Linked DNA regions of Elephas maximus indicus. The protein of the gene in region 4 purifies or fractionates together with the protein of the main gene of each other region. This does not show direct contact. Links are inferred from orthologs where the notes say so. Each region holds a gene or a part of one and is shown on either strand. Other genes may lie near its edges.

Region 1 (8,295 bases), on a different chromosome or scaffold from region 4:
AATAGTTTGGGTCAACTTCAAACGCAAAAAGGTATACCAAATTCTCAAGAAACATTATTCAAATTCCTTGCTTCTAATGTTGTTGTTGTTAGGTGCCATAAAGTTGGTTTCAACTCATAGCGACCCTACATACAACAGAACGAAACACAGCCTGGTCATGTACCATTCTCACAATTGTTATGTTTGAGTCCACTGTGCCAATCCATCTCATGGAGGATCTTCCTCTTTTTCACTGACCTTCAACTTTACCAGAAACCCTGGTGGAGTAGTGGTTAAGAGCTACAGCTCCTAACCAAAAGGTCGGCAGTTAGAATCTATCAGGCACTCCTTAGAAACTCTATGAGACAGTTCTACCCTGTCTTATAGGGTTGCTATGAGTCAGAATTGACTCAACAGCAGCAGGGTTTTTTTTGTTTGTTTGTTTCTACTTTACCAAGAGTGATGTCCTTCTCCAGGAACTGGTCCCTCCTGATAACATGTCCAAAGTACAAGAGACAAAGTCTCATCATCCTTGCTTCTAAGGATCATTCTGGCTGTACTTGTCAGAATGGCTGAGTAGTGTAAGGCACCAGACTCAAGGTGCACACCTTGCCTGCAGGCATTCCGGTCTCTGAATGGAGGCATGGGCTCTAATCCCACTTCTAACACAATCCGTGCCTCTAATACCTATTTTTAAATCTCTAAATTTCTAAATCCCCTAATCTTTCAACAAACTGCATAATTACAGATATGCTCTTTATTGGAAATAAACATCAGAGCTACTATCCCTTACTTCTAGGTTAACTGTCAGCAAATAAATAATATAACTGATAATATAATACAATAAAATAATACGACCGATTTTTTCTAATCTGCCAGCAAGTTTGGTTCCCTAGAAATTCTACTTGCTCTTAGCTATCCAGGAAACCCTGGTGGTGTAGTGGTTAAGTGCTATGGCTGCTAACCAAAGGGTTGGCAGTTCAAATCCACCAGGTGCTCCTTGGAAACTGTGGGGCAGTTCTACTCTGTCCTATAGGGTCGCTATGAGTTGGAATCGACTCGATGGCACTGGACTAGGTTTTTTTTCTTTTTTTTAAATCTAGGAGCTAACGGACATGAATAAATTCAGGTACCAAAATAAAAATTACACATTATATAAGCTATATCAATTCTCTTATCTGGGCCTCACATTTCAGAAGCATGTAAATACTCAGACTCTCTTATGATTATTTTTAGGTAACTCCTCTGTATTTGTTTATTCATTCAAGCAAACACATGCTTGGCTACTACATGCCAAGCAACCTGAATACAAAGATAACAACATTTTACCACTGTATAATAAAAAAAATTAAACAGCTAAAATGCAAAACTGTATGTGCTATAAACAGAAGTATCAAATAAGTGTTATGGAAGCTTGAGGGGGATAGAATGCCAGGAAAGTCTTCCCAGAAGAAAGCAATGCTTGAACTGAGAAAATGTCACAGAAAACACACACTGTCCACATCTTAGTATTTAGACTACAGCTCTTGTCTGCTCTCATACACTACGAAATTTTTCAGTTTTTGCTTTGTCATATAAACAAGAAGTAACAATCTGACTGACTAGAATAGACCAAAGGGGCAAAACTAGTAATTCCATTTCTAAATCTTAAATAAACAGTAAAAAATAATAATTTTATCAAAGTATTTATGTCCATTACCTCCATCCTGTCCAATGTCTGGCTTTGATATCCTAACTTCTCTCTCCAAGTAAACATACCATCTGTCACCCAGTTAACAAATATTTCTTTCTGAATTTATGAAACTGCCAAGAGAATAATCCTTGTTCTTTTCTTGCAGTTAGCTGCTTCTTCCAAATCGGAGTTTAATTCCCTCATTTTATTCTATCAGAATACTTTATTTTGAACTTTGCACCAAACAGGAACCATGGAGTTCCAAGGTACAAGAATTACAAAGTGACCGCTGCCTAGCTTTATACGTCTTGTCTATACTTCCCAATGCTGTTGTGGGTCACTAACTGGACTCCTCAGAATCCACAGTCGCTAACACGGGTCAAAAATTCAGATCTAAAACGGGAAACTAGCCAACGACTTGTAGTTTTATCAATTCGTTTCCAATACATAACACCACAAACGTTCTTTAATCAACTTTTAAGGTTAGTTCCCTTGGTCTAGGTAAGGGTACCACTAATGAAGCTTCTCTCTTATTTTGAAGAGATAGCAACACTCAAATTCAAAACGCTCTTTAAGACTACATCTACTCCTAACTATCGAATATCTCCCCTCCCCATCCCCGGAATCCTCAATAATCAAAGACTGACCTCCCAGGAGGGTGTAGTAAAAAATTTCTAGACTGAGTCTGGACGTCTGGCTAATCCCGTCCTTTCTCTAGGCCTCGGTTTCTCCATCTGTACAGCTTGCATGTGATGCAGGGGAGTGACTAGCTCAAATAATTTCTATATAACTATCCAGGAACCCAATGTTGTTTCTCATCTGGCTTTACACGGAACACGTGGGAGAACAGAAAATAACCCTGTACTCCACTGAACCGATCCTAATTCTCAGATATTATCTTAGAAAGCTAGCAAACTCCCAACACACCCACCTACCACCTTTGTCTCGTGCAAAAGACATGGCAAATGAAACCCATTTCTGCACCAACGTCAAGAAAGTCTGGGAAGATCATACTCAGGGTCTTAAGGCGAGGCCGGCCCAGCGCCGGCGCCTATCACCGCCAAGCGTATGAATGAGTAAAAAAAACCAGTACAACCAGCTAAATGGATGCTCTATCCCCATGGGCTGCAACTGGAGACCACCCCCTCCCCACCCCCACCCCCGGTCCAGACCCCACCACATCGATTCCCTCCCAGGGCCCAAAAAGCTAAGCCTGGGGGCCGCAGGATCGTGGGCCCCGCCCCCTCCCTCAGGGTAGAAGGTGCGCGACGGGCGCGAGACTTCGGCGCTGACAGGGCCTGGGACGCCCCGCGCAGCCGCCCGCCCTGAGGGGAGGAGCCTGCCGGCCCCCGGCCGCCGCTGCTCCGGCTCCCGACTTACCGCGATGCGGTGGGCGAGGGGAAGTGTCAGGAGTGAGAGCCCAGGCCCGTTCGCCACCCGCCGCTCTCTGAGCAGCGCGCGGCCGCCACGAAACCGTCGCCGCCACTACCACCGCTACCGACCGCCGCTCCGGGCGCAAAGCGCAGAGGGCCCGACTGCGTCACACGCCGCCTGCCGTCAGAGGCTCGCTCTGAGCGCTCCGCCCTCGCTGTCTGAACATTGGCAGACGAGGCCGCCACTCTAGGCCCGCCCTGTTATTCATTGGGCAACTAGTCTTTTGAAACAGAACGTGAGGGCGGTCTTCGGGAGAAGGGACAAGTGGGAAGAGGAGGGGCATAAAGAGTTAGAGAGAGGAAAGGGGAGGAGCGGTGGAAGGGATCATGGAGTCCCGCCCCCACACTGCCGCGGTTGGCTGGGAGAGAGTCGTGGCGTCACATAGGGCCCCTAGAAGTGGGCTGGTGACTGGCTAGATTGGGGTGGACCGGGCGGGGTGTGGGAGAGGAGTGGTGACGCCATACCGACGCTCCTCCCCTTCTTTGGGGCCCAAAGACTCCGGCTGCGGAAGCTCGGGCCAATCAGAAGGAAGGCTCCAGGATGGCTTGGTAACTATTCTACCCTTCCGTCGCCCCCCCGCCCCCCAGGTCCGCGGGCGGTGATGGGAAGGCTGCCCTGTCGCCTTGCTCACACTTCTTGGCCATACCACGTGCGGAGCTAGGTCTTTCCCGGGAGGTCCGTCTGTCGGAAGAACTTGCCTGCGACGGCTCTGAAACCCCAAATCGCGGCCCCCACATCTCTTGACCCATGCCAGCAGTAGTACACCCTCTCTGAACCTCAGTAACCTCTCGTAAAAGAGAAGGGGGAATTATATACGCTGGAATAGACTTTATGAACATTTGAGATGCCCTAAGGAAATAGCCCAGCATAGAGCTTGGTACAAGTGAGGATTCCAGGGACTTCGTTCCTGATAACAGCTACAGTTAAAAAAAAAGCCAAACCCATTGCCATCGAGTCGATTCTGACTCATAGCAACCCTATAGGACAGAGTAGAACTTCCCCCTTAAGATTTCCAAGACACAGACTGCCACATCTTTCTCCTGCAGAGCGGCTCCCTCGTGGTTGGAACCGCGGACCTTTCGGTTAAGGCATAACCACTGTACCGCCAGGCGTCTTCTCAGACAACCCTAACTTATTCTTAAGAGCCGCGTTCAAATGTTCCCGCCTTCGCTGGGATACATTTGCCAACCTCACCAAGCAGAGTTGGACTAATGTTCCTAACAGGCCTCAGTCACTGTATCCTATTATTTACTTGCCTGTCCTCTGTGCCCAGAACAGAAAAAAACTTGATGACAAGGAGGAGAGGTGAGCAATGTTCTAGAAACTGGATTGATCTAGTGGCTGAGGATCTCATACAGAAAAGCAGGGGCTGTGCTCATGCTCAGAAAACGTCTTCGGACTACCCTCCACCACCACCTCCATCAATGCAAAACTGAAATGGGCTCTGCCCAAAGCATAGGTGAACTTAAATCCTGAGTTTTTAATAGTAGAAAGGGATATTTGATTAATTTGTCAGAAAGTGTCGTGGTTGTATAGATGAAATAAGATGATGGATGTGCTTAAAGGAAGATAAAAAATATACATTGATTGCCAAATAGTAAAGCTGGTTTAAGCAGCTAACTCGAGCCACCTTCCTTGAACTCCATCCAAACATCCCTCCTTTTGTCTCCATCCCCCCCGCACCAGGCCCCCCACCTGTTCCTACTCTCTCGGCTCTCCACCCCCCACCAACACCTTTGCTGTACATCAGAAAGTCATAAACTCTCCAGGAATAGTTACTGTAGCTTCCTCACTGCCCCCCTGAACCTTTGATTTCTCCTCCTTCATTCCTCAAGCACAACTCTGTTCAAGACTTTTCTCTACTAATTTAATTTGGAATTCCTAGGATTAGGCAAGGAAACCCTGGCGGCGTAGTAGTTGAGAGCTATGGCTGCTAACCGAAAGGTCAGCAGTTTAAATCCACCAGGCAATCCTTGGAAACCCTATGGGGCAGTTCTACTCTGTCCTATAGGGTCGTTATGCGGTATCAACTCGATAGCAACGGGTTTGGTTTTGGTAGGATCAGGCACAGAGTAGATACACATTAGATGTTTGATGCATGAATGAGTGAATTATTTTCTACAGTGAGGAAATCATAGTAAAAATGTTGGGCTTTAGAGTCAGAGAACCCTGGGCTTAAATCTGGGTTTAACTGTGTGAACTTAGACACATTTCCTAACCTCTCTAAACTTCAGTTTCCTTGTCTGTAAGACGGGGATAACAACTGTATTTGCCTCACAAGGTTGTTGTGAGAATTAAATGAGATATTACATATAAAGCATTTAGCATGGTGCCTGGTACCTAATAAGCCCTGAATAAGTGTTAGGTATTGTTTGTATTCCTTAATGTCAAGGAGCTTCCATTCTTAACTCTACATACTCTTAAGACATGGGGTCTGATGCAGAGAAGAGGCTCAGAAATACACATCAGGTATGCAGGAGCTGGGATCCTTAAATAGCACACACTTGTGGGGAGAGTGGAGGTGGACATATTGGACAAGGAGTGCTTCAAGGAGGAATTTCCTGAGACCATGGTGATTTCTAAGTAGTATTGTTTGATACTGTGATAGACATATAGCCCATTCCCAGGGACCTTAGGCTGGGAGAGGATTTTTTTGTGGATCCAGGGCTTCCTGGGCCCACATATTCCTACTCTGCCTAACTCTCATAGCATCCTTTTCAATTTTCATCTTCCTTCTTCCACTCTAAAGATAAGCATTTTGATACATGTTTTCAAAAGCTTGCTGAGCCAAGCCCTGTTCTGAGCATCAGGAGCCCAGAGATATCCACAGATCAACACCCTACACTGATTAAGAAGGACAACTGAGGAAAGTCTAAGCGCAACAAACTTGGAGTAAAACAGAGCTAGGTTCAAGTTCTAGATCTGCTACTTTTTAGAGTGTGCACAAATTATTTAATTGTTCTGTGCCCTAATTTCTTTGTTAAATGGATACAATAATTGCTACTTGAAGGTCAAAAAAGATAAAGGAATTTGCCAGAGACTGGGCACATGTTTGATTCATACTGATTCTCTTCCTCCTCACCTGTACCTTGATAAGGAAGGTTAAGTTTTGTAAATAATGTTGAATGAATAATTTCTTTTACGAGGATCAGCACAAAGCTGGTTCCTGTGAGGTGGAGGTTAAAGATGCCACACATGTCCAACTTTTTTCCAAACTACTGTCCTACTCCGTCATCTTTAACATGAACTGCTCCTTTTCCTCTTAGTACTGTTCCTTCCATCCTTGGGTTCAGTAATTCGCTGCAACATCTCACAGAACTCAGGAACCATATCTTAAGGAAATAGCTCACATGGTTATAGAGGCTGGCAAGTCCCAAATCCATGGGTCAGGCATCAGGCTGGAGGCTTCTCCAGACCCACGTGGCTGCAGGGGCTGACAAACCCAAACTGGCAGGTCAAACAACAGGGTGCTGGCTCACAAATCTGTGGAAGTTGGCAAATCAGGTCAGACAATAGGCTGCTGGCTGAAGGGGCTGTGAAAGCTGGCAAATCCCAAAATCGGCAGGTCAGAGATCAGGCTGCTGGCTCAAGCTCCAAGAATCAGACTTTAGATGATCATGACCGAAATGCAGGATCTAGAGTGAGAGAACTTCCCCAGAGCATTCATATATATTTGATGCAGACCACACCTTCAAGGAAACTCCCCTACTTGAGAAGGCAGTGACTTGAGTCATGCCCTTTAGTAAGGGTAGTAACTGGAGTAAGGGTGGTGTCTTGAGTCACACCCTCTAGTAAGGTGGTTAAACCCAAAAAACCAAACCCACTGCCATTGAGTTGATTCCAACTCCTAGTGACCCTAGAGGACAGAGTAGAACTGCCCCCATAGAGTTTCCAAGAAGTGCCTGGCGGACTCTCAAGCTATATCCCTAACCCTGCCTCATTAACACAACCACAGGCATACAGGCTAGGATTCACAACGCATCGTAAAAGGGAGGATAATTACATCAGATCACAGAATGGAGGACAACCATATAATACTGAGAATTATGACCTAGTCAAATTGACACACAACCCCAACCAGCACAGGTTCTATACACCTTAATTGCGTAGTTGCACTCAATCATTGTGTGTGAATCACAGAAACTATGGCTAGAAGGGCCATATTGAGCAATTCATTGTACTGCAGGCCACCTCCTAACTCTTCTAGTCATTGGCCCTTTCATACTTGAAGGATTATGTTTCCCCTCCCAATCATTTTACAAGTCCAAAACAGGTATTAGCAATTAGTCTTTCGGTAGGGCAAACAGTCCTCAGCATGAGGTTTCTCAGGTACCAGCCATTCAGGTTTGCTGCAGGTGTCCATATGATCTGGTCAGGTTCTCCAAAAGTCATCTCTACCTTCACCCTTTCTGGCTTCTGATAAAATTTATCTGAGAGATTATTCCCTTGCTCTCAGTCTCTCTTGAGGTATCAGCATAATGTTATATTTCCCCTACTGCATAACTCATTTATTCGTTACATTACCTTCAGCTATTACTTCTCTTTCCCTTCATTTGACCTTTATCTTTACTCAGACTTTTTCACCTTGGAAAGGGGCATCAGGCCCAGCTGCTATGCCAGTCCAGATTGCTGGTAGCAAGACCAGTCTAGCAAGTGCTTCCCCCTTAGTTCACTCCCATTCAGATTGGGTAGGGTTACATAGGAACAATATTAGTGGGTTTTTTTTTTTTTTATCTTGCACACTAGGCAGTACAGCAATATTCAGCATCAACCCCAGTTTTAGCCACATGGGGGGAAGATACAACCCATCCCATCAGGCCCTTGGAAATTCTGGCGTATAGTTTCAGGGGTATGTGGCCTTTTGTGTCTGGCTTCTCTCACTTAGGATGTTCTCAAGGTTCACACTTGTAGCATGTATCAGTATTTCATTCTTTTTTATAGCCGAATATAGCTGGGTATGTCATATTTTGTTTATCCATTCATCAGATGGGCTGTTTCCACTTTTTGTCTATTGTGAGTAATGCTGCTATGAACATTTGTGTACAAGTTTTTTTATGGACATATGTTTTTATTTCTCGGGTATATACCTGGGAATGGAATTGCTGGGTCATATAACTCTATGCTTAATTTTTTTTTTTTAAGAACTGCCAGGTTATTTTCCAAAGTGGCTGCACCATCTTACATTCTCACTAGCAACATATGAGGGTTCC
Region 2 (7,365 bases), on a different chromosome or scaffold from region 4:
TGAATCCGACTCATAATGACCCTATAAGTACAGCAGAACAAAACACTGCCTGGTCTTGCACTATCCTCACAATCTTTGCTGTTTGAGCCCACTGTTGCAGCCACTGTGTCAATCCATCTCGTTGAGGGCCTTCCTCTTTTTCGTTGACCCTCTACCAAGCATAATGTCCTTCTCCAGGGACTGGTCCCTTCTAATGTGTCTAAAGTGAGATGAAGTTTCACCATCCTCCCTTCTAAAGGAGCATTCTGGCTGTACTTTTTCCAAGACAGATTTGTTCATTCTTCTGGTACTCCATGGGATGTTCAATATTCTTCACCAACCAACACCATAATTCAAATCCATCAATTCTTCTTCAGTCTTCCTTATTCATTGTCCAGCTTTCACAAGCATACAAGGCGATTGAAAATACTATGGCTTGGGTCAGGCATACCATAGCCCTCAAAGTGCCATCTCTGCTTTTCAACACTTTAAAGAGGTCTTTTGCAACAAATTTGCCCATTGCAATGCAGAGAATACCAGGAAGATGTTTACTTGTGTATTATGGACTATGCAAAGGCATCCAATGGTGTGGATCATAACATATTATGGATAACATTGCAAAGAATGGGAATTCCAGAACACTTAATTGTGTTCATGAGGAACCTGTACGTAGATCAAGAGGCATTAGTTCAAACAGAACAAGAGGATACTGCGTGGTTTAAAGTCAGGAAAGGTGTGCATCAGGATTGTATCCTTTCACCATACTTATACAGTCTGTATACTGGGCAAATAATCTGAGAAGCTGGACTATATCAAAAAGAACGGGGCATCAGGATTGGAAGAAGATTCATTAACAACCCATGATATGCAGATGACACGACCCTGCTTGCTGAAAGGGAACAGGACTTGAAGCACCTCCTGATGAAAGATATAAGACTACAGCCTTCAGTATGGATTACATCTCAACATAAACAAAACAAAAATCCTCACAACTGGACCAATAAGCAACATTATGATAAAAGGAGAAAAGGCTGAAATTGTCAAGGATTTCATTTTACTTGGCTCCACAATCAACACCCATGGAAGCAGCAGTCAGGAAATCAAACAGCACATTGCATTGGGCAAATCCAGTGCAAAAGACTGCTTTAAAGTGTTAAAAAGCAAAGATGTCTCCTTAAAGACTAAGGTGCACCTGACCCAAGCCACGATATTTTCAGTCACCTCATATGCATGAGGACAATGATTAAGGAAGACCAAAGAAGAATTGATGCCTTTGAGTTATGGTATTGGCAAAGAATGTTGAATATAACATGGACTGCCAAAAGAGCAAACAAATCTGTTTTGGAAGAAGTACAGCCAGAATGCTCCTAAAAAGCAAGGATGGCGAGACTATGTCTCACATACCTTGGACATATTATCCAAGAGGGATTAGTTCCTGGAGAAGGACATCATGCTTGGTAAAGTAGAGGGTCAGCGAAAAAGAGGAAGATCTTCAATGAGATGGATTGACACAATATTTGCAACAATGGGCTCAAGCATAACAATTGTGAAGATGGCACAGCACCAGGCAGTGTTTTGTTCTGTTGTACACAGGGTTGCTTTGAGTCGGAACCAACTCGATGGCACCTAATGATAACAACTTACATGGGTGTTGATGGTGGATCCAAATAAAATGAAATCCTTGACAACTTCAATCTTTTTCTCCATTTATCATGATGTTGCTTATTGATCCAGTTGTATTTTTGTTTTATGTTGAGGTGTAATCCAGCTGAAGGCTGTAGTCTTTGATCTTCTTCAGTAAGTGCTTCAAGTCCTCTTCCCTTTCAGCAAGGAAGGTTGTGTCAATTGCATATCACAGGTTGTTAATAAGTCTTCCTTCAGTCCTGATGCCGTCTTCTTCTAGTCCGGCTTCTCAGATTATTTGCTCAGCATACAGACTGAATAGGTCTGGTGAAAGGATACAACCCTGACACACAACCTTCCTGATTTTAAGCCACACAGTATCCCCTTGTTCTGTTTGAAGGAATGTCACTTAGTCTATGTATAGGTTCCTCATGAACACAATTTATTCTGGAATTCCCATTCTTCGCAATGTTATCCATAATTTGTTATGACCCACACAGTCGAATGTCTTTGCATAGTCAATAAAACCCAGGTAAACATCTTTCTGGTAGTCTCTGCTTTCAGCCAAGATCCATCTAACATCAGCAATGATATCCCTTGTGTCACATCCTCTTCTGAATCTGACTTGAATTTCTGGCAGTTCCCTGTCGATGTACTGCTGCAGCCGCTTTTGAATGCTCTTCAGCAAAATTCTGCTTGCACGTAATATTAATGATATTATTCAATAATTTCCACATTGTATTGGATTGCCTTTCTTTGGAATGGGCACAAATATGGATCTATTACAGTTGACTGGCCAAGGAGCCGTCTTCCATATTTCCTGGCATAGATAAGTGAGTGCTTCCAGCATTACATTCATTTGTTAAAACATCTCAATTAGTACTCTGTCAGTTCCTGAAGACGAGTTTTTTTTTTTTGCCAATACTTTCAGTGCAGCTTGAACTTCAGTACCATTGGTTCTTGATCATATGCTACCTCTGGAAATGACTGGACGTCAAACAATTGTTTTTGGTACAATCACTGTGTGTATTCCTTCCATCTTCTTTTGATGTTTCCTGCATTGTTCAATGTTTTTGCCCATAGAAGCCTTCAATATTTCAACCCAATAGGGGGAAATTAACATTTCAGTGATCTACCCTGTGCAGTGTAAATTTGCCATCTTCCTTTTTAATCCTCACAACAACTCTGTAATAAAGGTGTTATCTCCATCTACTGATGAGGAATACTCCAGAGGGTTCAAGCCTATATTACCAACTAACCAATCCACTGCCATTCAGTCAGTAGGAATCATAGCGACCCTATAGGACAGAGTAGAAGTGCCCCACAGGGTTTCTGAGGGGACATCAAAGCCACCTTTATTCAAAACGCCACGGTATTCAAAACATGGAAAGGCCTTCCTGGGAATGATGGCTTCCCAGAATTAGAATGTAAATACTGTTAAAACAAGAGTCATTATTAAGCCAATAATGGAAATTGATTGAGTTTACTTAATACACGATTTTCAACTAGGGAGTTTCAAAGCTGAGAAATGAGAAAACTTCCAAAGACTCTTCTACCCCATCTTATCAACATTGCCATGGAAAAAGGTACAGAGCTGATAAACAATTTGTGGTCAGGAAATTTCATACAGCATTGTCTTGATGAACAATTAAAATAATTACTAATGTATCCTAAAATATAACTCTAGTCTGACCTTTGACGTCTGTTTCCTGAAACTGAATTCTTCAAAACAACACAATGCCCAAGGCAAATTGGTCTTACTTTAATGGTTTACCTAAACCATTGTTTGACTCAAAGGTGACTTTTAGAAACCTATTTTTTCAAGGCTCCAGGTTCAAAAGAAGATCTCAAAGCAATGGCTTGGGTGTGTCACCTCAACTCCATGGACCCCAGAAATCTGGATTTCAGAATTAAATCTGTTCCTCAATGTCTAAGGTGAAACTTCAATAGATCCGTTCGAGACCAGAATATACTTTTTGGCTGGAAGGCAAATAGAGAGCAATACTAACACTTTCATGCTGCTTCTCTTCATAACAAGGAAAAAACACCAAGTAAAAGACAAATAGTAATTATGGAAAACAACTAAGAAACTGTAGGGGGTTACACCACAATTCAAACAAGGTGAGTGGAGTTGAGAGAGACAGGGACCCCTGCGGGGTAGGAAGATCTCCAACGTCTGAATTCCAAGTCCTGGCTCATTCTGACCGAGAATACCAGAAAATGGCTTCATATTTTCTTATACAAGCAGTGTACGTCGACATGCTTCCCAACATGATAACCCAGCCCTTGGACTACTCCCACAAACATCAGTCAGGCGAAGTGGCGGCTACAAGTAACGGCCAAGCCTGGTGAGGCCCCGCCCCTCCCCGGCCTGGTCAGGTCCCGCTCGAGTCCAAAACTGTCATGCCTTTGCGCCTGCGCCAGCTGGGTCTGCGGCGGTAGACGGAACAAGTCGCGCATGCGCTAGATGGAGTTTTTGCCTTTCTCCTCCCACTTATTTCCTCTGGGGATGGGTCAGCGTGGGTATGCTTCCGGGTCCGAGGATTTGCTTCCGGAGAGCGGGAAGGCTGAAACGCGGTGGCTAAACTAGAACCAAGGTTGCAAGTTTTTTGGAGGAGAGGGCTGTAGCCATGGACAGGTCAGTTCACATGGTGACAACCGAGCCCAGAGATTTGCCCCTTCTGTCTATTGGCAGAACGAAATAGGTGAAACCCGACTCAGGAAGCCCAAGAGGTCCCGGTTGCTTCCCCCAGGACTCTTCCCGGACTGGGAGACTTGCAGCTGACGGAGGAAAGGCCTCTGGGTGTGGGTTGGGGGATGGAGAGTACGGGTAATAATAATCCTCTGCTTTCCTACCGGGGCCCTGCGACCTATTCGGCGTTTTGGCGCCACATCATTTTCTGCTCTTGGGGTGGGCAAGGTAAGTAGCGGCTGCAGATTCGAGATGCTAAGTGACCTGCCGGAGATCGCAAAGCCAGTCAGTGACAAATTGGAATCTCAGCCCAGAATTTGATTCCAAATCCCAGCAGATGGTTATTGAGTTCCTTCTATGAGCCAGCACTGTGCTGGCCGCTGGCGACAAAGATGAGTTAATCAAGGTCCTTTGCCTCGGGGGATTCTTTGTGTATCGAGGGAGACTACTAAGCAGTGGTCAGGCTCTCTGCTGCTAACCAAAAGGGCAGTGGTTCAAACCCACCAGCTGCTGTGCAGGAGAAAGATGGGGCAGTCTGGTTCTCTAAATATTGCAGCTTTGGAAACCTCATGGGGCACTTCTGCCCTGCCCTCCAGGATTGCTATGATTGGAAATCAACTCGCTGGCAATGGGTTTTAACTACACAGTATAAAGTGATAAATGTTTTGTAATGCACGCTCGTTGACGTAAATGAGGGAAGCATAGTCTCCCTGTCAAGGGAGGTAGCAGGAAGGCCTCTCAAAAGAGGTAGCTTTCAAATTAGTCTTTGAATAATAGTTGTTGTTAGGTGCCATAGATTAGATGCCAGCTCATAGCGATCCTGTGTACAACAGAATGCAACACTGCCTGGTCCTGCGCCATCCTCACCATCTTTGCTATGTTTGAGCCCATTGTTGAAGCCACTGTCAGTCCATCTTATTGAGAGTCTTCCTCTTTTTCACAGACCCTCTACTTTACCAAGCATGATGTCCTTCTCCAGGGACTGATCCCTCCTGATGACATATCCAGAGTATGTGAGACAAAGTCTCACCATCTTCGCTTCTAAGGAACTTTCTGGCTGTGCTTTTTCTAAGACAGATTTGTTCTGGTCAAAATTACCCATTGCCGTTGAGTCTCTTCGAACTCGACGACCCTATAGGACAGAGTAGAACTGCCCCACAGGGTTTCCAAGGAGTGGCTGGTGGATTCAAACTGCTGACCTTCTGGTTAGTAGGATAGCTCATAACCACTGTGCCACCAGGGTAAATAGAAGAACCAAATTTTAAACCTGAATCTGTGTGTCTCCATTGCTGGAGTTCTTAACCTCAGGCTGCTTGTAGGCAGGTAAGTGTTCACCAGGTGGACAAGAGGGCAAAAGTAGACCTCTGTAAAAGGGACAGCATGTACAAAGATGTGAGAGTATGAAGGTGCTTGCTCTGTGTACCTGAATGGTCACATGCAGTGTATGTTTGTATGGAGTAATGTTTGGTGCTCAGACTGGATTGGTAAGCTGGAGTCAGGTTGTAAATACCGGGCTAAGGAATTTGGACTGGATTCTATAAGCCATAAAGAGAGCTATCAGGGTTTTAAGTGGAAAAAAAGCATATTCGATATGTGTTTTAAAAGAGGCCTCATAATCTGTACTGTTTAGCTTCTAGACCTTCAGGTGAGAGTGGTAGGGGTGATCTGGAGCGTTAGAGATTACAGGTAGTGAGAGAGGAGATACTGCGAGAGGAGATGCCTTATTGCACCATATCGAGAAATGACTTGAAGGGTCATTTCTCTCCAGTTCGCTAGCATTCTTTTTTACTTATTTCACCAGCTCAAGCAACACATTTTTCCTTAGTACCCATGCTTTAAGGTACTTTGGAGACTACGGAAGATCCTTTAAGATATGGTCCCTGCAGTTAGAGAACATCTCAATCCAGTAGGGGAAAGATTTACATTCATTAAGCAGTTATCTAAAACAGTGTTATTTTAATACAGATTTCAAGAGTTGAAGTAATTCCCTAGGAGAAAACTTTAATGTAGTAAAAGTCAAAGAAGCCTTTGTGCTGGTAAGATTTGAGTGTGATTGAGGCTTAATCAGAATTTGGCGTGAAGAGGGCGTTCTAAACAAAAAGATCAAAGTCTTGGCTACTGGAATTACCTATACCTTGACTGACTCAAGGTCCTTTATCATGATGTTAAAGTTCTTTCTGAATGCTACATTTTCACTTTATTCACATTTCACTTTATTCACTATTTTAGGAGTGGCTTTGGAGAGATGTTATCCCCTGCGATCCGAGAGGCAGAGGTGACTCGGACTGCACGGAAACAGAGTGCTCAAAAAAGAGTTTTAAGTATCCTTTACATTTTACGCATATTTATAAAAAATTGCAACGTGTTTGGAATCTGGGTTATAGACTTCTTTTTATGAGAGATACTGAACACTAACTGTAATAATAAAATGCTTCAGAAATTAGCTTTGCTCACTCCACAGATACTGTTATTTGGTAATGAGATTAAGATTTATATTTCCCTCAATATAAGACTGTACCATCTTACTGCTGATCGTCATTATGGTTAGCTTCTGCTGACGTTATAGATTTTTTTTTTTTAATTTGGAATTGAACTAAGAACTCATAGTGAACGACAGTGGTCTACTACTGACATCTAAGAATTTAAATGGCAGACAGAATTATTTACTCTTTAAAAAAAGGTAGCTGTAAAATACCTGGTTCTTTAAATATGTATTCCCATGTTTTGTATAGTGCAAATACGGTTAATTCTAACTTAAAGGATCTCTTTTCTACTTGGAAACTTTTCTTAACTTTCCTAACAGTTCGAGCATCGCAAGACGAAAATTGTGCTAACACTACACCAAAAAACCAGGTTATTCCTCGAACTCCCAGCTCATTTCGACAGCCTTGTAAGATTTTTTGCTTTTAAAGCATTGAATGATAACATTAATGATAGCAATTAATATTTATTATACACATAATGAATATATTTGGCTGCAGTATCAATAATAATAATAATGAATGCAGCCACTATTTAATGATTGCAGCTTACTGTGCTTTACATAAATGCACATTAACTGTGGGATAGAT
Region 3 (8,446 bases), on a different chromosome or scaffold from region 4:
CCTAGGATAGTGCCAGGATGGAGCCTAGTGGGCCAGGGAAGGAAATGAATAAGGGATTGTGCTGTGAGCAGCTTTCACCACTAGGGATTAACTAGGAATTTGGGTTAAAAAAAACTTGGGTTAAAAAGGTCTAATTCCTCTAGGAATAAAATTAAGTATCGATAATTGGTGCATAGGAATAGGGTGATGGACGCCTGGTAGCACAACAGTTGAGTGCTCTGCTACTAACTGAAAGGTCTGCAGTTTGAACCCACCAGCAGCTCTGTGGGAGAAAGACCTGGTGATCTGTTCAAGAGAGATTACAGCTTAGAAAACCCTATGGGGCAGTTCTACTCTGTCACATGGGGATTGCTATGAGTTGAAAATCGACTCAACAGCACCTAACAACAGAAATAGGATGAACCAGCTAGAATGTGCTCTCCAGGGCTAAGTTCCAAGAAGGGGTAGGAGAGCTAGAATCACAGAGTTCTTTTAGAGCTTTAAGTCCTTGCCAAAAACCCTGAGAAATGTATAACTGAATTTGTAATACAGACAACTCAACTGGGCATGGTTTATACCACATTTCCCTCATGCTCTAAGAAAAATTAGTTGAGTACTTGAGCTGCCTCTGAGTATGCCGCAGGAAGTCTGGGGCCAGAACGGTGATGTAGAAACCATCCAGATTTCTACCCTTGGGTCATGGCAAGGAAAATAGGACCCAAGATTATACCAGCAGTCAATGCCAAGAGCCCAGCATACAGCATTAGCTGTGTCAGCTGGGGCACAGGATATAGAAAAAGATTGCCCGTTTAACACTACTACATATTCACTGAATATTGATATACATATTGTGCAAGCATAATGTAGAGACTGGTCCTATTTGCTTTTTGAGGTCAGGTATCATCACTTTTCGTTTTTGTATTCTCAGCAAATAACAAAGTCCTGAATGTCGGTGGTCAATAAATGTTCACTGACTTATTGATCCAGTAGTAACTTTTCATGGTACTTTTAATTTTGTTTTTGTTGAGAATATACACAGCAGAATGTAACACCAATTCAACAGTTTCCACTTATACCGTTTAGTGACATTGTTTACATTCTTTGAGTTGTGCAACTATTCTCACCTCCTTTTCTGAGTTGTTCTCCCCCCCGCCCGTTAACATAAATTCACTGCCCCCTAAGGTTCCTATGTAATCTTTCAATCATTAGAGTTGCTGTTGTCACTTTCATTCCATGTAAAAACCCAAACCCTTTGCCACTGAGTGGATTCTGACTTGACTTAGAGAGACTCAAAGGACAGAGTAGAACTGCCCCACAGGGTTTCCAAGGAATGGCTGGTGGTTTCAAACTACAGACCTCTCAGTTAGCAGCTGAGCTCTTAAACACCGTGCCACTAAAGGGTTCCTTTCATCCCATATAGCTAATCCTTAAAAGTGCATAATGCTTAAGGCAGACCTTTTTACTAGTTAAGCTAAACTATTGTTTGGTTTTGAGAAGACTTCAGGGGATACTTCTGGTTTAAGTTTTAAAGGCTATCTCAGGGCATTTATGGCACCTTTCATGAGAATGACAAAAATCCTTAGCATGCCTAAATAAGACGTCCTGAGTACCTGTCAGTTATGCAGCCTGTACAATGGTAGGACAATCAAGTTTTTCTAAATCCATTAATGCTTCTGTCTTACTCCTCTGTTCATCACTGGATTCAAACAGGGCACTAGCAATGAGGCCCAGCAACTTGAAGCTGTTGGCTAGCTTCATAAAATGCACAGAAAGAAATTAAAGCTACAGACCACAGAGTTATGCCCAATATAGATACTATCTTTACTCTCCAATTCTCATTTTTAACTACTCTTACCTGGAGATAAGGAAGGTAGAGTTGGAAGGATGGTTCTCAAAGGCTGGTGCTCTGGGTAACAGCATCAGCTTCACGTTAGACATGCAAGTATCTGGCCTCACCCCAGACCTACTGAGTCAGGAGCTCTGGGGATAGGGTGCAAGAAGAGGTAGTTAATAAGACCTCTAAGTAGTTCTGAAGTCCACTGAAGTTTCAGAACTATGAGCCTAGAGCAGCTTTTACTACACTAATATAAACTTGTCACATTTAGAATTTTTACTTCTCAATTTTAAGTCTTTTGTGGCTAGATCTAGGCTATCAAGCAGTTTTCATAAATAGACACACAACACACAAGTGGAATTTTTTTAATAACTTACATACGTATATTTATTGATATATATATGTGGAAACCCTGGTGGCATAGTGGTTAAGTGCTACAGCTGCTAACCAAAGGATCCTAACCAAAGGATCGGCAGTTCGAATCCGCCAGGCGCTCCTTGGAAACTCTGTGGGGCAGTTCTACTCTGTCCTGTAGGGTCGCTATAAGTCGGAATCGACTCGACGGCACTGGGTTTGGTTTTTTTAGATTATATATGTAATATATTTATATGTCTTTTAAAATATTAAAAACTTAAAATCCATACATATTCCCATAACTTTAATACAATAACTAAAACCTACTGCCATCGAGTCGATTCCGACTCATAGCGACCCTATAAAACAATACTACTTCTCAATTTTAATTTTCAATCTTTACCTATATGCATACTCATTGACGTAACTGTAGAAATATACAAATTTTGGTTCACCTATAGCCTTATAAAATTATTTGGTAAATATGCTAAAGACAGCTTTTTTTTCCTGATTACAAGAGTAATAATAATAATTCCTGCCAATCCTGTTTTCTACTTAAATATCTGTTAAAAAAAACCCCAAACTCGTTGCCATTGAGTCGATTGCAACTCATAGCAACCTTTCATTTTTCATAAAATTGAGAATTTTTTAAGAAAATTTTACCAAATGTCATCTTCATAGAATTTTACATTTTATCACTATATTGTTAGCATTTCCTACATCACTGAATATTCATATAAAATTATTTTTTTGAAGGTGGAGCATCTATTTATTTTTTAATACAGAAAATACAGGCGTATTTAAAAAGGGAAACATGCAAAAAAGTCACAAAGAGTAACAAAGTATATCACAAAACAAGAAAGTAAACTGAAAATAACAAGTGTACTAAATAAAACAGAGCCCAGCACAATGTTGGGCTTTCTTCCTGTGAGTTCCAGGATGCCCAGGCACTACCAGGTAGAGATGATCCCGCTTTTGCAAGAGCCGGTTGGTTGTGCAATGGTTAAAACCCAGTCCTCCTTTTCCTGAACAGTCACACCCTGTCCAAGCTGAGAGGCAATGAGACCGGTTTGGTCTTATGCATAAAACTGCCTTTTAATGACTGCATAATATTCCATCATAAGCCTTAGCTAAGAGTGAGACATGCGGGTTATGCCCCTTTTTTAGTGTGATTATTGAAACTGTCCTTCTTGATTTTTCCCTGGAAGTAGAATTATGGGGACAAAATGATGAACATTTTAAAGCTTCTTGACTTTTCTGTGTCTCGTCCAGTCTTTACAGTTCTTTTAAATAGGTTAATATTTCATCTGATACTGTTTACTTAGCTGTTCCTCTATTCCTCTTTGGTTGAACCACACCAGTGGTTCTCAACAGGTACTATTTTGCCCCCTAGAGGACATTTGGGACTGTCTGGAGACAGTTTTAGTTGTCACAATTGGTGAGGAGTGCTACTGGTATCTAGTAGGTTGAGGCTAGGGATGCTGCTAAACATCCTACAATGAAGGCAGGACTAATTGCTAGAAAAAAAGCATCATGTTTGGTAAAGGAGAGGGTCAGCAACAACTAGAGAAACCCTCAGTGAGATGGATTGACCCACTAGCCACAGGAACAGTCAAACAGACATCACGGAGATGGTGCAGGCCCAGGCAATGTTTCATTCTGTCACATAAGGTCTCCATGAGGTGCAGCTGATTAAAGAGCAACCAACAACAATAGCTCTATTGACTGCAGTTTTCTTTTAACTAATGAGTGTACTTGAATGGTTGTGTAAAGTGGCTATTTTGAATAGCCAAAGCAGATATGGTAACCAGTTTCAAAAACTTCCATTTATCTGCTACTGAACGCTTATTTTACTTTTGGAAAATGTAAGCCTCTTTTTATCCCTTAGAAAATGGGCCACACCGTTGGTATTAGGCACTCAGATCAGTGAAGCTGTGGTACATCTGCAAAATGCAGCGAGACGTGGATGGGGGAATTGTTGAGTTTTATCCGAACTGCCAAATTTCATTCTACAAGTGGCTGACTTTTGTGAATGGGACTTGGATTTAATTGTACTAGCCCACAGGAGAAAACTAACACTTCTCACCATTCCAGAACAGCTTATTGTCACTAATTCATGTAGATGATTCCAATAGTTTTCAGGGAAAGAAGCACTGATCCCATTGATAGATTTATTTTCAGATCAACTTCCCTCCTAAATAAAAAAAAGCTGTTACATTTTCAGGGAGTGTATTTTTTAAGACTTACTTTTAAATTTCGAATTATCTTCAGTTCGTTCAAAAAGTTGCTTGCATAGGAAATTGAGAACAGATGGCGCAGGACCGGACAGTGTTTCGTTCTGTTGTACATAGGGTCGACGGCACCTAACAACAACACTATTCTCTTACTTGATGTGTTATATGGCAGTAAAAATAAATAACTTCACACCTTGAAGTTACTTAACACTTTTCAGTTTTCCGTAACAAGGCCACGCAGTCTCTGATTTGCGTGTCTCCGCTGTGCATTCATTTTGCTCTGCTTTTCCTTGGAGAGATAACAAACCCAGTATTTGTGTTAAGCCACCCCAGCTGTCTCACTTCACAGTTGCACCAATTTGTCCGCGTGCTTCTAGTGTGCTGTAGCGTGGGAGTGGGGGCCACTGCCTTGGCACACAAGCCCGCCAGAGCGGCGGGACTAGGGGAAGGGGCCCCATTACTCTGGACACCAATGGGAGAAGCGATGATGCTAATGTGGAGACCGGGAGAGAGAGACAAAAGCCAGCTGGGAGAGGTCGTAGGCACGGCACAGAGGCCGGGTTCCAGCGCCCAGGCAGCCGCGCTGCTTCACGCACGCACGGCCCCACCACCTCCGCCGGGCGGCCCTCCTGTTGCTCCCGCCCCCTCGGGGGCCTTCTTCCTGCCCGGCGCGGGCTGTCCGTGGCGGCGCCTGACCCGGCGGCAGGGTTACTAGGAGGATAGGCTGCACCTGGCGCTTTTCCCCTTAACTGCTGTCGAGGCCAGGAAGGAGGGAATACGTTAGACAGCCGCAGGGGTGGTTATGGCTGAGAGGAGAGGCTCCTGCAACGTCGGGGAGCTGAGCCTGACCGGCACTGCTGGAGGCGCCCTGACGGGGTCCTCTCTCTCAGCCGGGTTCCGAGCGGGAGGCCGGAGCTGGAAGCATTGGCGGCTTGTCCAGTTCCAGGGTGCTGAGACGCGGCGCGATGGAGGAGGTCGATGGAGAGCCGATAATCACTGTAAGGGCGCCCGGAACAGGCTTGCTTGCCCTCACGATCCGAGGGCTGCGTCTGCTCCGTCGCTGCAGGCTTGTCCACCGCCTTGCGGCTCGGGAGGCGCCCGTATCCCTTTCCTCGGCTCAGTTGCCGCCGTCGAGAGATCGCGGCTTGAACTAGGTGCCCGTGTTCGGGTCGCAGTGGTCGCTGGGTTTCTGCTTCTTTGTTCCCTCAGAAACCTGTCCCCGGAGGCCCCATTCCATCCCTCTTCCGCCCTTGTCTTCCCAACCTTCCTACTTTGCTCCGCTTTTCCTCCTGGGTGTTAGAGCGAGTCCGGACCCAGCGTGGGTGGGGCTTTTTTTTTCCAACCGAATTAAGCTGCTCCACATCTCAGCGCCCTGAGATTGGCGTCTGCTAGTCGTGCAGTAAGGGTCCTTGGTGGCGCAGTGGTTAAAGCTCTCGGCTGCAAGCCAAAAGGTCGGCACTTCGAACCCACCAGCCACTCCGCGGGAGGAAGATGTAGCAATCGGCTCTCGTAAAGATTTACAGCTTTGAAAACCCTATGGAGTGTTTCTCTGTCCTATAGGGTCGCTACGAGTCGGAATCCAATCGATGGCAGTGGGTTTTAGTCGCCAGGTTTATTAAACGTATTTATTCTCTTGGGATCACTCCTGTTTTCACTGCTCTGTTTGCGTTCAATTCAGTCTGCACTCTCAGGAGGATATGTCAAGTATAAACGATCTGTGATTTTATGAAGAGATACATGGGCTTTGGATACTAGATACCTTTAGATATTTCCTTCCGCTGCCCGGAATGTTTTTTTCTTCCCTCTTTGCTTTATCTGCCGCTCATTTTTCAAATCTAAGCTCCGTCAGCCTCTCAGAAAAGCTTTTCCTGACCCCCTGACGAGTCAGTTTGTCTTTATGCCCTAGGCTTTCAGAGTTCTGCACCTCTTGGGTCTTAGCAGCCTCTAATAAAACCAAAAACCAAACCCGTCGCCGTGGAGTTGATTCTCACTCATGGCGACCCTAGGTGTTACAGAGTAGAACTGAGCCCTATAGAGTTTTCTTGGACGTAATTTTACGGAAGCAGATTGCCAGGCCTTTCTTCCACAGAGCTGCGGGTGGGTTTGAACTGCCAACCTTTAGGCTAGTAGTGAAAGTGCTACCCAGGGACCTACCTTGTCAACGTCTATACACCACTAACTTTGTAAGTTACCTGACCGAGTGTTTTTTGCTTTTTAGAAGGTTAAAATGCGTACAGTTTTCACCTAAAACTACCTGATTGCAAAGCAGTCTATGATAAAACCAAATACTGAAAATGGGGATTATTTCAAAGCTAATGAGGTAGAAATGGGATATGAGATCTTAAATAGCAGCTGAAATGAGTTATTTTCTACGAAGTTTATTAGTTCTATAGAGTGTTAATTATTAAGTACATGTAAAGTACCCTAAATATTAAATATCCATCAAGTACTATGTCATTGTTTGTCAGTGGTGTATTCAGGAAGAAAACTTAGAATGTCAGAATCCCTGGGACTTCTTCAAACTTCACGTCATCTTGCTGTCCCCACCTCCATTACTCTGATATTGAGCCATGTGTTTACAAAGGGGATGAAGGTGCTCTAAGCTAATTTTCCCTCCGGTGGTGATAATTAGTCCCTGAGTGGTGAAAACAGTTTACAGGCAGGCTGCTAACCAAAAGGTTGAAGGTCTGCCCAGAGAGTCCTCAGAGGAAAGGCCTGGTGATCCACTTCCAAAAAATCAGCCACTAACGCCTTACAGGGCACAGTTCTCTGCACATAGGGTTGCCATGGATTGGAATCAACTTGGCAGCTATTGGCTTTGGTTTGGTGATGATTGGCCTGTGATAACCCAGCTCTGCACTGATGTGGAGACCAGGTAGGAAATTGGTTAGCTTTGTGGGCTGAGCCTCGTAGACAGTCACAATCCTTGGTAGAACTCCATAATCCAGAGTCTGAGCCTCAACTCTGCAAGTTTAGACTTTTGTCTGTGCTTCAGAGTTAATCTGCTCTTTGGGTTTATTCTAATCAGACTTTCGAGAGGCTGATGTATTATCCTGAACACCATTTTATGAATTCACCCCTTCTCAGAATTGTGTCTGCTGTTAAGACAACTGCTTTCTGTTATCAAGGTACTTGAAGGCATATTAGTAATTAGTAGGTTCAAGGATATTTAAGCATAAATTCAAGGTAGTAGAACAAACCAAACCCATTGCCATTGAGTCAATTCTGACTCATAGAGACCCATAGGGTTTCGAATTGTTGACCTTTTTTGGTTAGCAGCCTGAGGTCTTAACCACTGTGCTACCAGGGTCCCAGTAGTAGAATAATTGTGAGTGATTCATCTAGACCAAAGGTCTTCAATCCCTTTTTTTTTTTTTTGATCAAGCACTCCTTAAGAAATACAAGTTATAGTCACCTTCCCCAGGAAAATGCCTGTATGCATATATTTTGAGGTGTTTTGAGGACCCATTGAAGCCAAGACACTTGGAAAATTCCCTCACACCCTTTGCCTAAGTCAGTTTCTACCCTGACCACTTTCTGACTCTTGTCACCATAGATTAGTTTGCCTGTTCTTGAACTCCAACATGTACTTTTTTGTGTCTTCCGGCACGCTGTGGCCTTTTTAAGTGTGAGATGCCGCTTAGGCAGCCTATAGTGGTAGGGATTAGGAGTTGGATGGATGAAACTGAGGCCCTTGGGAATTGGCCTGAGTCAAAGAGGAAATGCAGAGCCAACATCGTAGAGGTGGCACAGAAGCCTTGGGATTGGATGTCTTTATTTTTTTCAGTGTGCAGCAAACAGGGTTCGATTCTTTTTTTAACTTCCCTTTTCTGAACTACAGATCACTGAATCCCAGTATAATAATTAATTCAAATATAGCTTTTTTTTTTTTTTTTGTCAGCAATTGAGAGATGGCAGGCTGGGTTGAGGAGCCAATCAAAGCTCACTTGTGTATTAAGGGACTGTTTTGAGGTCCAGCAGACTGGGCTGATGGCAACAACTCCCAGCTGCACACAGATCAGTTCTTAATGACCTTCATGACCAC
Region 4 (7,368 bases):
TAAGTATGACGTGCTCTATAATGTATACGTCTTTCTAGCTGGGACTGCACCATCTGAACAAGGGCCCCCGGAGAAGGTGGCAGATGCAGGTGGGAGGTCTCAGCTCCCCAGCTTGCTGCCCTCAATAGATGAGGGAAGAGCAGGCAGCCTCAGTCAGTGGTTCCCGGGGCTGTGGAGTGCCCCGCCTTCACAGGTGTGCTGGGAAGACTCTAAGGAGTTTCTGCAACTCGGGCAGAGCCTTCCCAACTCTGGAGCAGCCCCAGCTGCTCCCACCAGCACCTCACCATACCCTCTTAGCCCACCACAACACAGAGCTGGTAAGAGGGAGGGCACCCTGCTTCTGAGACCAGACTAGCTACAGTGACTGCACTAGAGCAACAACTCTGGGCCTGTCTGAACCTGGGTATCCCAGTTATCGAATAATGTATTCTCTTCCCCAACTGTTTTAAAATACCACTTTGACCATGTACTGACACCTTATATTACTTGGGTCGATTTCTGGAATTTCTATTCTGTTCTCTCTCTGGGTGTCTCATCTGGCACCAGCCACATGGTTTTAATTAATGTAGCTTTATAATATTTTACTACCTGATGGGGCAAGTCTGCTTCACTCTTTTACAGAATTTTCTGGTCATTCCCTGATATCTGTTCTTCCAAGTAAACTTTTAAAATTTTGCCTAATCTTCCACTCCCTGCCCTCCTCTCACCCTAAATCCTGGGCCCTGCCATTCTCTGTGCAAATATCTTCCTTCCGTTGCAGTTACTGTCCACTCTGGGCCACTGGCAACACCGTGTCCTGTAAGGGGGAACCAAAAAGGCTTCCTGCCTCGAGGGGAAGCTGAATGTTCCCCCCATCATTTCGCCTGTCCCCTAAACCCAGGAGTTGTCAGGAAGACCACTGAGCCCCACCTAATCTCAGTTTGGGAAAGAGTCATCCCACTTTCGTTGTACTGGGAGGGACCCTCCATCGCCCCTGGCCCAGATGAGAAAGAGTAATCTGTCCTAGACCTGGAGCACCAGAGCTAGCTAGTAGAGACCTTTGCAAGGCAGAATGTGTGGCCCAGTTGTCTGTACTTCTCATCCTCATCGTGGAGAAACATTGATTCCCATCTCCCTTTCCTGAGCTGATTTCAGAGGTTGTGTGATGGGCCCTTTGGGATGCAGCATGTCTTGCCAGGACCATACCCTCTACCCCTACAGCCCCTCTCCTTCTTGCTCTACCTAGAGGAGGCTGCCACCTGGTGCACTCTCATGAGCCTCTTGCCCAAACCTCTCTCCTGCCATAGTGTCTGAAATCTCCTGTGCTGGGGGAGGGGGTTTCTTGAGGGCTTTGGGGTCTTCCAGAGCCAAGGCCTAAATCAGACAACAGCATGAAATTCCCCGGCCTTTCTGAGTTCCAAATCAAGCTCTCCTAATTTCAAGGTAGAGATCCTACCCACCCAAGCAGGGGTGAAGGGTGGGTGGGAGGGTGACCCTGGGCCCTGGGCTTCAGCCATCACCCTTTCCACCAAAAGCAAGGTAGCTGAGGGACCACCCTTCCCAGCCCCCTAAGTATGTTTTGTAATGCCTGTGGTGCTCTCCCTCCCAGAGCTGGAACTTTCAGGGGTAGCCACTTTGCTAACTCTTGTGTGCACATATTTTATAACAGAGTAGCGACAGAATGGTGCCACCTCCAGCTTCCACAAGCTTCCCCGGCTCTGGGGGGTCTGGGGCAATTGGGGCTGGGAAGTGACTGTGCTCTTATTGTACACTTTTTATTTCTCTGTATCTCTGGCTTGTGCTCTTTGTAATTAATGGGATTTGTCTGCCTTTTCAACACTATACTGAGCAATAACAATAAATGCACATGTGGAAATGCAGACACGGTACACATCACAAGGCCTTTTTCCAAAGGACAGCTGGGCAAACCACCCCCCCACCTCCGTGAATTTGAACTGAGGGCAGTTGAGTCCCTGGGAGGGAAATGCACTTGGCCCAAGGGCACAGTGCTCAGTGGGTGCCCTCTCTCCTCCCACCAGGTCCCCCCTTCTAGAGGGAGTGCTTTTACTCATAGCTGAAAATCCACCATTTGAGGGAGACAAGTGTAGCCTGCCATCACTCACTAATTCTCCATGTAGAGTGGTCCACAGTCCCAGAGAACAAGGCCTTGGGAGAAGGGGCCTCAGGAGGAGCAGAAGATCCAGGGGCAAACAGGCTTGTAGGAGGAAGAGAGGGGACACACATTGGAGACAGCTAAGACTGGCCTGACATGGGTTCTGGGATCAACCAGAGGAAGGGGGTGGGACATATGGACATGGGATGTAAAGTGGCATCTCCTGCTGAGGAGGAGGGAGGCAGAGGGGAGCCTGGTACCCAAGAGTCTGAACTTTGCAAATCCTCTGCCAAGCATCAGCAGAGAAAGAGAACGTGCCCAGACTAAAAAACAGTCCCTAATGTTGGGCCAAGGGCTGGGGTCTCAGACATGTGCAAGCACACACACACTCCTTAGATCCTAGCCTCTTCTCAGGGACAACTAAAGCCCAGATCAAGCACCATAGGCCCATTCAACTTCCAAACACTGTTTCACATCCAAGGGCCCATTTAATCCCAACATCCACCTCTGGAGTAGGTATTATTATAATTCGCACTTTGCGGAGGACCCAGCAGCCCAGAGAGGTGAAAGGTGTGCCCACCTAGGAAGCAGGAGATACAGTATTTATACCTAAGCAGTCTTGATTCTAGAACCTGTATTCTAAACCTCTATATTATGCCTTTCAAGGCCACCAGCAAATATTTCAATGAGTAAGATACAGCTCCATTGCTTGTCCCAAATCCCCAATTTCTTCAACTTCATTACCTACACCAGGGCATTTCTTTCATAACAACAATGCCCCCACGCATTAAACTCTATTATGTCTAATATGCCATTATCCCTGTTTCCCACTTGAGGAAAGAGAGGCTCAGAGAGTAAAGTTCCTTGACCTTATCACCCAGAGTATCAGTGGGTGCAGCTACAAACCCAAGGGCAGGGTCTGTCCTTTGAAGAACAGAAGGACCAAGAGGCCCCCCACCTTTTGCTTCCTGCCCCACCCTAAACACGCCCCTGACACAGAGACGCACACTAGAGGGAAATATAAGTCCTAAACTCCTGGGTGGGGATGGGTGGTGGTTTGCTACCTGGAGGTCTGGCCAAGCTCTGTAGCACCCCACTTTTCTGGGCCCCCTTCCATAGCTCCTTGCCAGTCTGGGTCAGTTACACTCTCTGAGCTTTAACATCTTCCCTCAAGCAGTGACTGTCTCCAGCTAGGGTTCTTTTCCTCACGTTCAAGGGAGGAAATTGAAGGATTGTGACTTATCCAAGGGGAGCATAGACTCCACTCTAGGTCCCCTGCCTCCTTCAAGTCCCGAGGTGGCTTAAGGCTGGGCCTCAGGCTCTGGCCAGAAGCGCAGCGTTTCTCCCTGTGCCTGTGGGGAGCCCTCAGCTTCCCTCCTTTGGGCAGCGGGGGAGCGGGCTGGAAAACTGGGGGCTGGGTCCCGGGCTCTAGCTGCAGGAGCCTGGCTTCTCCTTGCCTGGGGATCTACCTGGTGGGCCAGACTCCTGGGTCCCGGGACTGCTGTGGAGAAGGAGCAGTTTGGAGGCGCAGGACCTACGGCTTGGGGAGGGCGGGGCAAGAGGTTTCAGCTTTTTTTGCCCCTTGTCCCAGCCCTTGGTCCTGAGGATGGGCTAACCAAAAAGGGAGGCTAGCACCAATCTACTCACCCCCGCCCCCAAATTGTTCGACCTACAAAGTTCATCATAAGGTCGCACCCAGAACCGCAGGGAGGCTGGAAAAGCTGGAGTTAAGGATCCTTTCTTTCATTGATGCGTCTGAAGAAAAGGGAAGGGCTGCTCAGGAAGGTAGGCGAGACAGAGCTTCAGATTCCAAACGGTCCCGGGTCAGGAACGCCGTGGAAACCAGAGCCGTCCCGCCTTGGCTTCCCGAGGACGAGGCTAAGGGGCGGGGCAGCGGGAGGGCGGGACGCGGCCTCGGGAAGGCACGGAACCTTCGTGGGAGCCGGAGCGGGTTGCTGCTCGGAGGCTCCTGAGCCACGGCCCGACGGCCTGCCAGCCGGCGCCGGAAGTGGGGCGTTCGGAGGTGCCGCCGGGAGCTGCCACGTCCGAGGCCGGGAGCTGCCGCCGCACCAGCCATGGTGAGTGTCGGGGCCGGCGATGCCGAGTGGGGCTCGGGCCCCGGTCGCTGTCCTGACAGAGCTGGCCTTCGCTGGTCCCTCGGCCGCGCTGAGGCTCCCACCCGGGCAGGGGTGATTCCAGCCCCCGCCGCCGGTTCGGGGTGGGGGGATCTGGCGGAGGAGGAGGCCCGCGTGAGGCCGCCGGCGCCCCGGAGCTCTGCGGGCCGCGCGGCTGCCGCGTCTCCCCTTCTCTCCTCAACAATTAAAGACAACGACAGTGCAGCACGGCAGCTGCTGTTCCCCCAGCGCTCAGTCAGGTCCAGGCGTCGCTCGTGACGGCCGCGCGGCGAAGGACGGCCTGTTACTATCGACGTTGTGCGGACGAGGAAGTTCGCGGCTCTGAGAGCTGAAGCCTCGTGCACGGCTGCTGAATGGCAGAGCTGAGACTCGAACCCCCTTAGCCATTCCCTCTCCCAGCAAAGATGTCTGTCGACTTTCTGGGTGCTGGGTCCCCCGAAGGTACCCCAGCTGCGAGGGACACTGCAGGAAACTGACGTAGGGATGAACTGAAGGACTCCGAGGGCAGGGCTGAGTGTCCTATCTCCGTGCTGTCCACGGTGTGCACTCGCGCGACGCGTCCTCGTTGAGGGAAAGACTGGATGGACGAGAGCTGAGAGCTGAAAGCATCCAGCCTGAGCCCGAGTCTGGCCCCGAGTGGGGATTCAGTAAACGCAGGCTGTCAGGAAAGCGGCTGCGCTTCATCAGCAGGCATGGGGGAGCCAGCGTGGACCCAGAAGTCAGGACACTGGGTTTAGTTCTTGCTCAGAGGGGAAGGCTCAGCCTTGGTATTAAATCGCCGGCCTCTTTTGGCCTCAGATTCTTCAGCTGCTGGTCTCTTATGCTCTGACATTCAGCTCATTCTAAATGAATTTTTAACTCATTAACTGATTCTGAAGAGCTGAATTGTTTTGCGTGTTGCCTCTTAAAAAGGACCACATAACTCCAGGTGCTCGGGAGGAGGTACTCTCAGAGCTTTAAAAAACACAACAACACTGGTTCAGAAGCATTGTTAACCAGCCCTCGCTAGTGGATGAGAGCGGTTAGAAATAAACGCTGGTTATCTCTAAGGTCTTTTGATGATCTGGTATAGAACTACTTCCCAGTAAACTTTCTTCCTGAATCTGTTCAGCCTTCAGCTATTGGATTTAAGGGATGTTCTAAATAGGCAGCCTGATGGAGTGGGAAGCTTTGTGGGCTGGGAGATAGGAGATCGGCCTTGATTCTAAGCTCTGTGGCTGTAGCAAGTGCTTTTCTACTCTAGGCTTCCATTCCTTAATCTGTTAGACAGCCCTGATTAACTCTGTCTTTCGTACATCCCAGCACACACGTGAAAGCTCTTCGTAACCTAGACAACTCTGCACACACAGGAAACTCTTCTTATCGTCCTTACTTCTCTTCGCAGACCTTGTGCACCCACTTGTTAGGGAGTCTAGCATTTGATGAAAGAACCTGGGCTCTTTTGATGTGTACCTTTTGAGCTGCTTTGCAGCCGTCCTCTTCCAGTGTCCACCTTTCTGAAAAGTCAAGTCAAACTTTATCCCTGCAGGGCTTGTGCAGGAAAGATGAAATAGGGGAAACGGTTAGAAATATCAGTTCCAAATTGAAACTTCCTTTTCAGTGCCCTTTTCCATCCTAAAAAATTTAAAGAATAGTGGTCAGTTTTGTTCACTCATTTATTCATTCAGTGAATAGTCACTCAGTTCCTTCTGTTTGCAGACACTGTGCTGGATGATATGAGGGGGTTAAACATGGCAGATGACTCAGACCCTGACCCCAGGGTGCTCACCTTCTAGTGGGGAGAAGAAATAACATGGAGTGTTGTAGACATTCAGTGCTGAAGATATTCAGAAGAGTGCACCTAGTTAGAGGATCTGGGAATTGTCCAGAAGGGGGTATTATTTGAGCTGGACCTTGAAACATGGGTAGGAAGGCAAAGACCATGACAGCCATCTTCTAGCCCTACAAACTACTCAGTCCTAGACCCCATTAGGTGATAGCCTCAGGTCTGTCACAGGTGATGGACCAGGGAGCATCCTCAGAAGGAATTTGAATCAAGTCTGCAAGTCTTAGGTATGAACCCTGTTATACAGAAACTGCCCAGAACATCAGGGCTCTGTCACCCAATAAGGGAACCAATAAGCTCTCTCAAGGTCCTCCTCACCTCAGTGGTTGCCTGGACTGCTTGCTGTTCCCCTACACACATCAAGCTCTTTCACACCTCTTTGTCCTTGTTCATATTGTTCCCTCTGTCTGGACTGTCCTTTTTTTCCCCTGTGCCACTTGGCAAATTTCACTCATCATCTAAGCCCCGGTTCATGTCTTCTACCACCACCACCTCGGCATCTACTTATGCCACGTTAGGGTTATTTTATGTGAACTTCTCAAGGGCAAAGAGTACCTTTTATTCATGTCTATGTCTCCAGTCCCTGGCATAGTGCTTGGCAAAAAGAATGACTGTTAAATGAATGAACAAATGGCAGTCAAGAATTTTAGAAACGGTTGGTGGGTTTAATAAGAAGATTGCATTCTAACTGCCATCAGTTAATTTACCAAAAATATTTTGCTTCTAGGTGTCAGTAATTAACACCGTGGATACTTCCCACGAGGACATGATTGTAAGTATTCATTCAGCCCACCCACAGAGGTTGTGGACACGGGCACCTCTGGGGAAGGGACACAGTTTGTGTTTTTCATTACTCCTTTCTATTGATCATTCATGGGCCAAGGTGTGGCTTTGCAGCCTTCTGCCAGTTAGGCTGTAGCTGTAGAGGGTATAGTCAGCCCAGACATGTCCTCTGAGTTGGCAGTGCTATGGCAGTCTGGTCACCTTTAGTGGAAGGAACCTAGGAATGGTTTTAGCTCGTGGCTCTCAGCCCTCTAGCTGAGTGGGTGCGGAGGTTTGACAGTAGTCTTCCTACCTGCCTTCCTTCTGCTCCCACCTCTTAGCCCCATTGGAAAGGGGGCTGAAAGCGGGAACATGAAGGGAGAGTCAAGACGATGACTCACTACAGAGGCAGAGGGAAGCCGTGGCGAAAGCCCAAGGCAGAACCAGGCAGGACCACCACAGACAGCTGGCCAGGCGAGGCCCTGTGAGCCAGAGTCATGAACTGAGGGTGCTTCCTGAGAGGCAAACACAGGGCTCAGTGTGAGAGGTCAGGG

The links. Proteins that work in one complex are often made in the same cells at the same time.
Region 1: the proteins of SEC13 (region 4) and NUP98 purify together in Homo sapiens (affinity purification with mass spectrometry; 4 studies listed by BioGRID and IntAct, counting the BioPlex papers as one, with this or other methods). This does not show direct contact. The link is inferred for Elephas maximus indicus from reciprocal best matches to the Homo sapiens genes SEC13 and NUP98.
Region 2: the proteins of SEC13 (region 4) and NUP107 purify together in Homo sapiens (affinity purification with mass spectrometry; 8 studies listed by BioGRID and IntAct, counting the BioPlex papers as one, with this or other methods). This does not show direct contact. The link is inferred for Elephas maximus indicus from reciprocal best matches to the Homo sapiens genes SEC13 and NUP107.
Region 3: the proteins of SEC13 (region 4) and NUP85 purify together in Homo sapiens (affinity purification with mass spectrometry; 5 studies listed by BioGRID and IntAct, counting the BioPlex papers as one, with this or other methods). This does not show direct contact. The link is inferred for Elephas maximus indicus from reciprocal best matches to the Homo sapiens genes SEC13 and NUP85.

What each region holds. Positions count from the first base shown.
Region 1 is NC_064825.1:53,106,211-53,114,505, forward strand, and holds the start of NUP98 (nuclear pore complex protein Nup98-Nup96), read right to left. Parts: upstream 3,219-8,295; 5' UTR 3,032-3,218; intron 1-3,031. Other genes in the region: PGAP2 (post-GPI attachment to proteins factor 2), read left to right, coding at 3,626-3,633. UniProt on the Homo sapiens protein: Plays a role in the nuclear pore complex (NPC) assembly and/or maintenance. NUP98 and NUP96 are involved in the bidirectional transport across the NPC. May anchor NUP153 and TPR to the NPC.
Region 2 is NC_064822.1:129,494,952-129,502,316, forward strand, and holds the start of NUP107 (nuclear pore complex protein Nup107), read left to right. Parts: upstream 1-4,147; 5' UTR 4,148-4,232; coding exon 4,233-4,240; intron 4,241-6,523; coding exon 6,524-6,615; intron 6,616-7,097; coding exon 7,098-7,184; intron 7,185-7,365. UniProt on the Homo sapiens protein: Plays a role in the nuclear pore complex (NPC) assembly and/or maintenance. Required for the assembly of peripheral proteins into the NPC. May anchor NUP62 to the NPC. Involved in nephrogenesis.
Region 3 is NC_064837.1:65,550,921-65,559,366, forward strand, and holds the start of NUP85 (nuclear pore complex protein Nup85), read left to right. Parts: upstream 1-5,228; 5' UTR 5,229-5,366; coding exon 5,367-5,399; intron 5,400-5,408; exon of another isoform or gene 5,409-7,276; intron 7,277-8,446. UniProt on the Homo sapiens protein: Essential component of the nuclear pore complex (NPC) that seems to be required for NPC assembly and maintenance. As part of the NPC Nup107-160 subcomplex plays a role in RNA export and in tethering NUP96/Nup98 and NUP153 to the nucleus.
Region 4 is NC_064838.1:35,209,960-35,217,327, reverse strand, and holds the start of SEC13 (protein SEC13 homolog), read left to right. Parts: upstream 1-4,065; 5' UTR 4,066-4,167; coding exon 4,168-4,170; intron 4,171-6,779; coding exon 6,780-6,824; intron 6,825-7,368. UniProt on the Homo sapiens protein: Functions as a component of the nuclear pore complex (NPC) and the COPII coat. At the endoplasmic reticulum, SEC13 is involved in the biogenesis of COPII-coated vesicles.